Oryctolagus cuniculus: one gene and its partners. The protein of the gene in region 2 purifies or fractionates together with the protein of the main gene of each other region. This does not show direct contact. Links are inferred from orthologs where the notes say so. Each region holds a gene or a part of one and is shown on either strand. Other genes may lie near its edges.

Region 1 (3,643 bases), on a different chromosome or scaffold from region 2:
TGGGGGCTGGTGCTGCAGCGCAGTAGGCTAAGCTTCCACCCGTGGCACTGGCATCCCATTTGGGTGCCATTTCTTGTCCTGGCTGTTCCTCTTCTGATCCAGCTCTGTTTATGGTCTGGGAAAGCAGTGGAAGATGGCCCAAGTGCTAGCCCACCGTACCCGTGTGGGAGACCCAGAATAAGTTCCTGGCTCCTGGCTTCAGATCAGCCCAGCTCCAGCCTTGCGGCTATTTGGGGAGTAAACCAGTGGATGAAGAAAAGGAAGAGACCTTTCTCTTTGTCTCTCCCTCTCTGTAATTCTACATCTCAAACAAATAAATCTTTTTTTTTTTTTTTTTTTGACAGGCAGAGTGGACAGTGAGAGAGAGAGAGAGAGAGAGAGAGAGAAAGGTCTTCCTTTGCCGTTGGTTCACCCTCCAATGGCCGCCACGGCCAGCGCGCCGCACTGATCCGATGGCAGGAGCCAGGTGCTTATCCTGGTCTCCCATGCGGGTGCAGGGCCCAAGGACTTGGGCCATTCTCCACTGCACTCCCGGGCCACAGCAGAGAGCTGGCCTGGAAGAGGGACAACCGGGACAGAATCAGCGCCCCGACCGGGACTAGAACCTGGTGTGCTGGCGCCACAAGGCGGAGGATTAGCCTATTGAGCCACAGCGCTGGCCCAGTAAAATCTTAAAAAGAAAAACACAAGAAACAAAACAAAACTTTTTTTTTGAAAAAAGGGAAGGCAGCTTTCTTAAGCAGAGGTGAAGCAAATTTTGAGACACAATTACCATTAGTGCCACTCTGTTAAATAAATGGATCCATCTGGAAACAACAAACAGTAATTTAGCTCTAAGAGAACCTTCTAGGGCAGGGGTGGGGAACCTTTTTTCTGCCAAGGGCCATTTGGGCATTTATAACATCATTTACAGGTCATACAAAATTATCACCTTAAAAATCAGCCTACTATAGATGTAATGAATTTTGAGTTGTGCCTGAGGCTGCCTTGGCAGGCCCTGAGCAGATCACCTCACAGGCCTTACACAGCCCTGGTGCTGGACATGCCCCACCCCTGCTCCAGGGCGAGGGACAGCAGACCCACAACACTGGCTATGGTACTCACTGCAGCTGTGGTACAATCCCAGAGCTCTCCGAGGCCGGTGTGGCAGGAGTAATAGGGGTCATGGGGGTCATGGGGGAAGGGTAGAGGGGAGTGGTGCCCGGCAAGGGTGCGGTTGTAAGAGTCTGTGAATGGAAGAGCTGTGGTGTCTGGCCTGAGACCCCCTGCGCCGCCTGCTGGGATGTAGACTGCTGAACCGCAGCCGCAGCGGCTGCCACAGCCTGTTGTTGTTGTTGTTGCTGCTGCTGCTGCTGCTGCTGCTGTTGCTGCTGCTGCTGCTGCCTTTGTTGTTCTTCCAAGATAGACAGACTATTGGTGTTCTGAATAGGCTGCGGTGTCAGTCCTGTGCCGTAAGGCATCATGGGACTAAAGATGGGGATCCCAGGAGTCATGGCGCCCTGTGGAAAGCAAGGCAAATGCCAGGTTAGACTGGCTGGTATTGCATGTCTGTGAAACATGCCTGGTGGAACAGGTAGGAGGTATAAAGACAGACACCCCTCCAGGGATAACAGGATCACTAAACTTGACCAGAAAGGTCTTAGAAATATCACTTTCTTCTTTTTTTTAAAAGATTTATTTGAAAGTCAGAGTTACACAGAGAGAGGAGAGGCATAGAGAGAGAGAGAGAGAGAGAGGTCTTCCATCTGATAGTTCACTCCCCATTTGGCTGCAATGGCCGGAGCTGCACCAATCCAAAGCCAGGAGCCTAGAGCTTCTTCCGGGTCTCCCACGCTGGTGCAGGGGCCCAAGGACTTGGGCCATTTGCTGCTTTCCCAGGCCACAGCAGAGAGCTGGATGGGAAGTAGAGCAGCGGGGTCTCCAACTGGCGCCCATATGGGATGCCGGCGCTTCAGGCCAGGGCGTTAACCCACTGCGCCACAGCGCCAGCCCCCACTTTCTTCTTTAACAGTAAATAAGAGCTTACAATTTGGAATCCCACTGCTGCTTATTACATGCAAGAACTTGAGAAAGTTGCTTAACCTTTCAAACATATCTAGCAGATAATAATGATCTGAGAACATTAGAAAGAATAAGGGAGATAAACAGAGTGAACATACTTCTCTGCTTAAACTATTATCCTGGGGCTGGCACTGTGGTGCAGCGGGTTAACGCCCTGGCCTGAAGCACCAGCATCCCATATGGGCGCCGGTTCGAGACCCGGCTGCCCAACTTCCCATCCAGCTCTCTGCTATGGCCTGGGAAAGCAGTAGAAGATGGCCCAAGTCCTTGGGCCCCTGCATGAGTGTGGAAGACCCGGAAGAAGCTCCTGGCTCCTGGCTTCGGATAGGCACAGCTCCGGATGTTGTGGCCAATGGGAGAGGGAACCATCGGATGGAAGACTTCTCTTTCTCTCTGCCTCTCCTCTTCTCTCTCTGTGTAACTCTGACTTTCAAATAAATAAATAAATCTTTAAAAAAAACCCTATTATCCTAGCATATAGATAGCATCCCATCTCAATTGAAATGGATACATTCCAGGTTAGATGATAACACAATGATAGGCACACAGGAAACACTGAAGTATTGGCCACAATCATGATTATTGGAATAATATTCAAAAAGGTTGATCACTTGCTCTTGCAAAAGGGTAAACCAACAAAATTTACCAAATATATGTTTACTTTTTTTTTTAAAGATTTATTTATTTATCTGAAAGTCAGAGTTACACAGAGAGAGAAGGAGAGGTAGAGAGAGAGAAAATTTTCTACTTGCTGGTTTACCCTCAACTGGTTGTAATGGCCAGAGCTGAGCTGATCTGAAGCCAGGAGCCAGGAGCTTCTTCCCGGTCTCCCACACAGGTGCAGGGGTCCAAGCATGTGGGCCATCTTCTACTGCTTTCCCAGGCCATAGCAGAGAGCTGGATCGGAAGTGGAGCAGCCAGGATTCAAACTGGTGCCCATATGGGATGCCAGCACTGCAGGTGGGGCTTTACCTCCATCAGTTTACTTTTTACTTCTAAGTATTTACAGACAAAGGTTACACTTAGTAATTTACAAAAAAGCCTTTGGGAAACACAAAACAGCTATTTTTCCTATATTAAAGATAAGAAACTGACATACCCAAACAAGTTAAATGACTTGCCCAAGATCACAGATCTCATGAGTAGATGAGCCAAGATCACAGCCAGGGTTTCCTGAAACCCAGGCCAATGCTTTCCCGCAACACCAAAATCCTGGGAGCCCACAGAGACTGAAGAGCTCATGATGTCCTTGTGACCCTCAGTGTTACATGCGACATTCTGTGTATTTTCTGGAGAAGGTCTACAGTTTTCGTTACATTCTCAAATACATCTAAGACCCCAAAAAGTGTCAAACTGCCTCACCAACATAGTAGCAGGAAAATAAAAGGGGAGCGGGCTGGTGCTATGGCGTAACAGGTAAAGCCACCGCCTGTGGTGCCAGCATCCCATATGGGCGCCAGTTTGAATCCTGGCTACTCCACTTCCAATCCAGCTCCCTGCTAATGCATCTGGGAAAGCAGCGGAAGATGGCCCGGGGTCCTCGGGCCCCTGCACCCACCTAGGAGACCCAGAAGATACTAAT
Region 2 (3,732 bases):
GTCCTTGGCACACCTGTGGGAGACCCAGATGGAGTTCCCAGCTCCTGGTTTTAGCTTGGTCTAGCTTAAGTTGATGTGGGCATTTGAGGGAGTTAACCACTGGATGGAAGACCTCCTTGTCTCTGTGTTTTTCAAAAAAATAAATACATTTAAAAAATTATCCTAACCTTTAATCTGCACTGTATACAAGAATTTGCTTTCTACGAATTCCCCTTGTATTCTACCTTTTTAAAAAAAGGAATACTTTTTTTTTTAACATTCTTACCTTTTTAATTAAGGACTTCAGCCTGTAGTTTGGAGCTGTTAAGCAGTATCTATCAGGTGGAAGTCTGGGTCCTGCATATGGCTTAATTAGTGGCAAAGGGGTTTGATTTTTCTGTCTTGCAATATCCAGCAAGAACTAAAGAAAAAAATCCTTATTAGAACTATAGTTTAAAAATGTTAATTAAATTTAACTTCAAATAAATATTTGCTCACATCTCTTGGAGGAGGAGAGGTAAAAGACTGGTCAGCACGACACTGGATTGCCAGTCTCACATCATCTGCATCAACATTAGGTTTCTTAGCATGGCTTGAATAAATTTTTGCATCATCCAGAATTGTAGTCACATATCCTTTAATAACAAAACAATTTTTTCTTAAACATGAAGATAACTTAATATTTACAGCCACTGCCTTAATAAAAGGTTCTACTAGTTTCTAAAAAGTTTATGAATTTTGGTTTTGAAAGCCAATAACACAAGCTTTTCAAATTCACAAGTCAGACCAGTTTTTGGTGTTTGTGAACTTACGGAAAGCAAATTCCAACATTTGATTTATGACCCTCGGTTCATACTCTGTGATTCCCATATCCTTCAGGATCTGTGCCATCACCTGTGGAGTCCAACAGAAATGCCAGATGCATAATCCAGGTATCAGAAATGAAGGCTGGACAAAAGCTAGCTAGTATTTCTAATTATGAGACAAGGACCCCCTTCTCCGGGTTTCAAACTCCTGCTCCTGATTGTGCTAACAAGTGTCAGTGATCACCCAAATCACGTCATACACTCTCGCCAAAAAACTTCTATTTTATTTTATTTTAGCGGGGGTGAGGGCTCTGAGAGAGAAAAAAGGCCAGGGTTGGCGTTCCCAGAGGAGGTAGGGGTGGCTCCAGCTGGTTGTCATTTTCGATGTGGCAGGAGGGGAAGCCACTCTATCAGAACCCAGGGCTGGCGGACTGGGCGGCGGGGGCCCGAGGCCCAGGAGATAAAATCGGGCGGCCGGCCAGTAAACTCGGTTGAACTGCTACCCTCCGGCTGGGCTCGGCCAGGGCGGCAGGAGAGCTCCTCAGGGTCCAAGGCGAACCGTCATCACACTCTGCCGCCGGCCGCCCCGGCTGGGCTGAAGCGAGCGCGCGAGCTCGCGCTCAGGCCCTCAGCCCGGGCCTGCCTCACAGGTGCCCTGCCGCGCCAGGCTCCGCGCCCCGCCTCTCAGCCTTCGCACTTACCAAAGCATCTCTCGGAGCGTTCTTGGGAGGCGCCATCTTGCCCGACTCCATGTTATCCTGACACTCGTCATCCGGGGAGAGCGGGCTACTCACAGTCTCCTCGCTCTGGCTCCACCCCTACGGGGGCCGGGAGGCGGGGTTAGCTCACCCGCCCGCGGCCGGCCAGGCAGCCAGTTCTCAGGCGCTGCCTCTGGGAAGCCGGGGCAGCCTAGAGCCACTCTCGGGCGCCCCAGACAGCGGAGAGAAGGAGCTGGATCGGGAGGAAGACAAGAAGTGGGAGAGCCTTCCCTGGGGAACACTTCCGGGAGCTGAACGACTTAAGAGTGCCGAGAAGTTGTTCTTCTTACAGCTGGTCACCAGCAAAGGGCACCACATGAGCCACCCTCGTATCTCCCCTGCCACCACCGTGGCCCCTCCCTGCTCCCACCTGCCCCAGCGTTGGGCTCCCATGATCAAACAGAACCCAGGTACATTTGAACTTCACGTCAACAATGAGCATGCTTTTAGTGTTAAGTATATCCCAAACATTGCTTGGGCTATACTTACACTACAGATTTAGTTGTGGATCTGACATTCAAATTTAGTAGGGTGTCCTGGTTTCAAATTTGCTAAGTTTGGCCATCCTGCCTGGTTCTCCACACAATAGCACAATAGGACTTGGGTTAGCTCTTATCACAGGAAAGGCTAGCGCCTCGCCTCTGACGGGCATCATGGGTCCTCCTGGAGCCCCTCCAGCTCCATCCCGTGGTCCGTGGTCCTCAGCAGCTTCCTTTCAGTCCCAAAGGAGACTCTCAGAGTCCTTCCTTACCTCACAGATGCCGCCACTCCCGCCTCACTAGAATCACCTAAGAACTGTCCATCTAGCCCGAGTAACTTTCAAGAAATACGTACCAGCCAACCACCTGGCTTAAAATGACTCAGAGAACGCTTTCTTACTTTTCTGCATCTACCAATGAATGCCCTAGCATCTGCCATCTTAGACTGCAAATGGAGGAGGCAGCCATGTTGCTGCTTTCCCTCAGCGGCCACACACCAGCAAGTTCAGTTAGGGAGATCTCTCTCCGAATCTCTGCCCAGTTCCACCACGATAACAAGTCCAAGCCAACTGCCTTACTGAAATTACAGAAACTGACCCCCCCAAATACTCATAGTGCTCCTCCAGTTTTCGTACAACCACAAATTAAATTTTGACTTCCTTAAAGCCCTCCAAGGGCTTCCCTTTCTTTCCCTCTCTCACACTCACACACAAATTCATACTGATTTCCCAGGCTTAGCAGACCCTGAAGTTTTGGAGAGTGGTTTACCTCAGAGGAGTCTTCAGACTCGGTTTTGCTCCAGGAAGCCATCTTGAGTTTGATTAGCAGCACCCCTCCGCACCCCTAACCCCCGCCCCAAGAACCACGTGTTCCCAATACATTGTTTCCAGTGGGAACATGCGTTCCCTCTTCCCAAGAACGCCTTTCTCCATCTTCTCCATGGCCAACTTCTGTGTGAAGCTAGTTAATGATGTTCCTTGTTTGAGTAGTAGAGTCTAAAATTAAAAAAAATTTTAGGAAAAAGCAAGGAAAAGCAAGCCTCTTTCACCTGTTCCAGCCTTTCATTTTGCATTCACAGAAGGCACCACTGTTTAGCAGTTTCTTGTTTATGCAATTTACAAATAGTACATTTCCCTCACCCAAATGTACTATAATCCTAGGGTGACCAGGCTTTAGAGAGCCAACTTGACACAGCTGTACTAGACACAAAAACAAGGTAAAGCCAACCCTCACAAAGCCACATAATATATATGTTTGTTATATATGTGTAATTACTTGAAAATAAGTGTTCTCTTGAAACTATATGCTTTTTTCTGCTTTCCACTGTGGAACACACTCAAACTACTGCTCTCACCTGCATGGACCTTCCCAATAACATGTCCTTGTCATGCACAAAGATATGCATTGCAGGTGCTGACACAAATTTTTTTTTTATTTTTATTTTTATTTTATTTATTTTTTTTTTTGACAGGCAGAGTGGACAGTGAGAGAGAGACAGAGACAGAGAGAAAGGTCTTCCTTTTGCCGTTGGTTCACCCTCCAATGGCCGCCGCGGCTGGCACGCTGCGGCCGGCGCACCGCGCTGATCCGATGGCAGGAGCCAGGAGCCAGGTGCTTTTCCTGGTCTCCCATGGGGTGCAGGGCCCAAGCACCTGGGCCATCCTCCACTGCACTCCCTGGCCACAGCAGAGGGCTGGCCTGGAAGAGGGG
Region 3 (3,743 bases), on a different chromosome or scaffold from region 2:
CGCTGGCGAGGTCCAGCAGGGCGGCGCACAGAGGGCCCCGAGACGGCACGGCCCCGGCTCCCCAGCTCTGGGGCAGCCGTTGTCATCACGCGGGGAAAGCCCTCCCTCGGGACTCCCCTGCCTCCTAGGATGAGCCGGGGCGCACGGGCAATGCGCCGGGCTGGCCAGATTCCAGACAAGCCACATGCTTGTCCCATTCTACTCAAACCTCGACTCCCACGGCCCCTCGAGGCCCGGCCCCTCCTGTGATGGTTCGGCTGCCTTCAGCCCGCCCCGCCTGCGACCCCCGACTCCCGCTGAGCCTCACCCAGGACCTGCTGCTGAAGTCGGGGCCTCTGGCCTGGCGTGCTCCTCCCTCCACCTCCCCGACGCGGCCCTGTCCTTGTCCCGTGCGTGGGCTCCCACGGAACCAGCGCAGGATCTGGCCACACCCCAGCCTCGAGGGTCCTGAGTGCTGAGCCCGGGCGGCAGGCCCAGGCTCGGGAACCCCACAGCCCGCAGCCACCCGGCTCCAGCACCTACGAAGTCCCGGGACCGGAGCCGGCACTGCGGTGCACGGAGCACAGCGGCCGCCTGCGACGCCAGCACTCCATCAGGGCCCTGGTTCAGTCCCGCGGCCCCACTTCCCATCAGCTCCCTGCTGTGGCCTGGGAAAGCGGCGAGGACGGGAGACCCGGAAGCAGCTCCCGGCTTCGGCCTGACCCCGCCTGGCCACTGCAGCCACTTGGGGAGTGAACCAGCAGACGGAGGACCCAACTCTGCCCTTCAAAAAATAAAAGCAAAATCTTCCTTAAAATGTTCCAAGATAAACATAATAAAAAATTACCAAAAAATAGTTCAAAGATAAATAGAATTAAAAATCACGAAAAGGTTCAAAGAGAAATAGAATTTAAAATAAAAAAAAAAAAAAGCCACGGGCTCCTGGACAGGCGCCGGCTCGGAGCTGTGGCCCAGCGAGACCCCGCCCCCCGCGCGGGCGGAACCACGCGGCTCCAGCCGCAGACTGGAGGCCCAGAGGGGTGAGGCAGCTCGCCCAGCAGCACAGCCAGAGGCCAGAGCCGCGCCGGCACCACCCGCGGCCTGGCCGGCCGGCGCCGCACCACGCAGGCCCTGGCAGCCGCGCCCCAGGGCCCTCCCTGCCCTCACCTGGACGGCTCCCCAGGCGCCACACGGCACGCAGGCTCCGCCTCCCCAGCCCTGTCCGTGTCGGACCGGTTGGTCCAAAGGCCCAGCCCAGGGCTGCTGAGGCCCCGCGAGGCCCACGGGGAGCTCAGCCAACAGCTCCAGCGCCCGCGTGCGGGCGTGCGGGCGGGCGGGCAGCGCACCGGGCACGCAGCAAGGGCAGGCCGAACGCAGGCGGTGTGCGACACGGGCCGTCGGGGACCCCGCCAGGGGCGCGGCAGGGCCGGGCTGTCAGCAGGGGCATCGGCAGGCTAGCGCCTGGACCTGTCCTGGAAAGGCGCGCCCGGGGTGGGTGTCCGTTCACGGTGGGGGTGCTGAGCGACGGGTGTTGTGAGCGACCGGTGGAGCCGTGACAGGTGGAGCCGTGAGTGACAGGTGGGAGTCCTGAGTGACGGGTGGGAGTCCTGAGTGAGGGGTGCAGTCGTGAGTGACAGGTGCAGTCGTGAGTGACAGGTGGGAGTCCTGAGTGACAGGTGCAGTCGTGAGTGACAGGTGCAGTCGTGAGTGACAGGTGGGAGTCCTGAGTGACAGGTGGGAGTCCCGAGACGGGTGGGAGTCCTGACGGGCGTGTCGTGAGTGACGGGTGGACTCCCGAGTGGCGGTGTCGCTGAGACACGCGGGCGAGGCTGTAAGAAAGGCGGGCTGGGCCGAGGGCCGGCGTTCGCCGTCGGCACAGAGCAGAGCCCGGCGCGGGGCAGTGAGACGGGGCTCCGGGGGGAAGGGCCGGCCCAGCGCCCACCGTCAGCCGGAGGAGCCGGAGACCCCAGGGCTGCGCACAGAGACGCAGGCAGCCCCTGCTCACCGCACGGAGAGGCGCAGGACGCGGGGGACGCGGGGCGGTGGGTGCCCCTTCCCGGCTCGGGCGTGGGGGCGGGGGGCCGGGAGACCCCCGAGGAGCCGGCCCGGGCTCTCCCCGCCGGCCCGGGCGCGTCCAGTGCAGCTCCACCTCCCGAGCGCCCGGCGGCGGGCCCAGGCCCGGAGCCGGCGGGGCAGCACACGGGCCGGCCCACGCCCTCGCAGGACGCACCTGCGGCCGCCCCGCGCTGGCCCGCGGGGACCCGGGCGGGGGCTGCTCACCCAGTTTCCGAAGCCGAACTGCTCGATGGCGTCCAGCAGCAGCTGCTCCTCGCGGCTGGTCCAGCCGCCCTCGGCCTCCGGCCCCCAGAGCGTGAAGCGCCCGCCGTCCACCAGCTGGTAGCCGTGGTAGCGGCGGTGGTGGCCGATCTCGGCGCCGGCCGAGAAGCACTCGGGGCACAGCTCGATGTCCTGGCACTCGGTGCAGCGGAAGCGCAGCGGGCTCACCTCGGCCAGGCAGTACACGCAGTACTTCTTGCCCAGCTCCGCCATCTTCGCCCGCTCGCCGCCCGCCGCCGCCGCCGCCGCCGCGCCGCCGGCCGTCAGCGCCGGGCCGCCCGCGGGGCCCGCCGCCCCGGCCGCGCACGAGCCGCCGCCGCCCGCCGCCGCCACCGCGGCCGCCGCCGCCCAGGCGCCGCCCCGCCGCCGGCCCGCCGGGCCGCGGCCCGCCTCCGCTCGCAGGCGCCCCGGCCCGGCCCGGCCGCCGCCGCCGCCGCCGCCGCCGCCGCCACAGCCGTCGCCCCGCCGCACCGCGCAGGCGCCCCGCGCGGGGACCCGGCCCGCCGCTCTGCGCCTGCGCGCCGCGCGCGCCGGCCGCCGCCTGCCCCCGAGCCTGCGCGGCGCCCCGCCCCCGGCCTGGCGGTGGGAGAGGGGCGGGCGGGGAGGGAGGCGGAGCGCCACGCCCCTCGCGGCGCCGGCCTACGCCCGCTCCCAATCGGTTCCGTGCCTCTCCCGCTCGCGGCTCGCTATTGGCCAGCGCTTTCAGGGGGCGGGGCTGAGGGGGCGTGGCGTCGAGCCGCTGGCGGGCCAATCGGCGGGCCCACCGCGCGCGCCCTTGGTTGCCCCGGGAAACCTAACAGCCTGCGGCCGAGGTCCGCTGCCCTGGCCGAGCCGGTCGGAGATGGACGACCACACGGAGCACAGGGTCAGCACCATGGAGGAAAGCGGAGACGAGGCAGGCCTGGCCTGGCGCCCATCCGACATCGAGGCCAGCTCCGGCCCCCGGGCTCCGGGTGAACCTGCGGAGCAGGAGCCGAGGCCGGAGACGGAGGAGGAGGGGGAGGGTGAAGAGGAGAAGGAGGAAGAGGAGGAGGAGGAGGACAAGGAGAAGGAGAAAGAGGCGGCAGAGGCCCCCGAGCGAGGCGCCCCCGTGGACGAGCAGGCCGAGGCCGCGGAAGGGCCGGAGGCCCCGGAGGCCGCGGGCGAGGAGGGGCCCCTGGAGCCGGGGAGGCTGTCCACGGTCGGGGCTGAGGAGCCGGCCAAGCGGGCATCGGAGGCCCGGCCAGAGGCGGCGGAGGAAGAGGAGGCGGCGGCGGCGGCGGCGGGGGAGGAGAGGAGGGCCCCGTCCCGCGCCTCCCTGCGGGCGTCCACGGCGAGCGAGGCTGCGCCCGGGCCGCCGGCCGAGGCGGCGACCGCGCAGGCCGAGGCGGCGGCGCAGGAGCGGGCGGGCGACTACGAGGACCTGGAGTGGTCGGCCGAGGTGCAGC

What was found.
Region 1: the proteins of TAF9B (region 2) and TBP purify together in Homo sapiens (affinity purification with mass spectrometry; 3 studies listed by BioGRID and IntAct, with this or other methods). This does not show direct contact. The link is inferred for Oryctolagus cuniculus from reciprocal best matches to the Homo sapiens genes TAF9B and TBP.
Region 3: the proteins of TAF9B (region 2) and TADA2B purify together in Homo sapiens (affinity purification with mass spectrometry; 3 studies listed by BioGRID and IntAct, counting the BioPlex papers as one, with this or other methods). This does not show direct contact. The link is inferred for Oryctolagus cuniculus from reciprocal best matches to the Homo sapiens genes TAF9B and TADA2B.

The regions. Positions count from the first base shown.
Region 1 is NC_091436.1:47,853-51,495, forward strand, and holds part of TBP (TATA-box-binding protein), read right to left. Parts: intron 1,500-3,643; coding exon 1,105-1,499; intron 1-1,104. UniProt on the Homo sapiens protein: The TFIID basal transcription factor complex plays a major role in the initiation of RNA polymerase II (Pol II)-dependent transcription.
Region 2 is NC_091453.1:71,910,617-71,914,348, reverse strand, and holds the start of TAF9B (transcription initiation factor TFIID subunit 9B), read right to left. Parts: upstream 2,816-3,732; 5' UTR 2,791-2,815; intron 1,604-2,790; 5' UTR 1,538-1,603; coding exon 1,487-1,537; intron 874-1,486; coding exon 792-873; intron 615-791; coding exon 478-614; intron 401-477; coding exon 266-400; intron 1-265. UniProt on the Homo sapiens protein: Essential for cell viability. TAF9 and TAF9B are involved in transcriptional activation as well as repression of distinct but overlapping sets of genes. May have a role in gene regulation associated with apoptosis.
Region 3 is NC_091433.1:3,121,744-3,125,486, forward strand, and holds the start of TADA2B (transcriptional adapter 2-beta), read right to left. Parts: upstream 2,764-3,743; 5' UTR 2,530-2,763; coding exon 2,260-2,529; intron 1-2,259. Other genes in the region: CFAP184 (cilia- and flagella-associated protein 184), read left to right, coding at 3,158-3,743. UniProt on the Homo sapiens protein: Coactivates PAX5-dependent transcription together with either SMARCA4 or GCN5L2.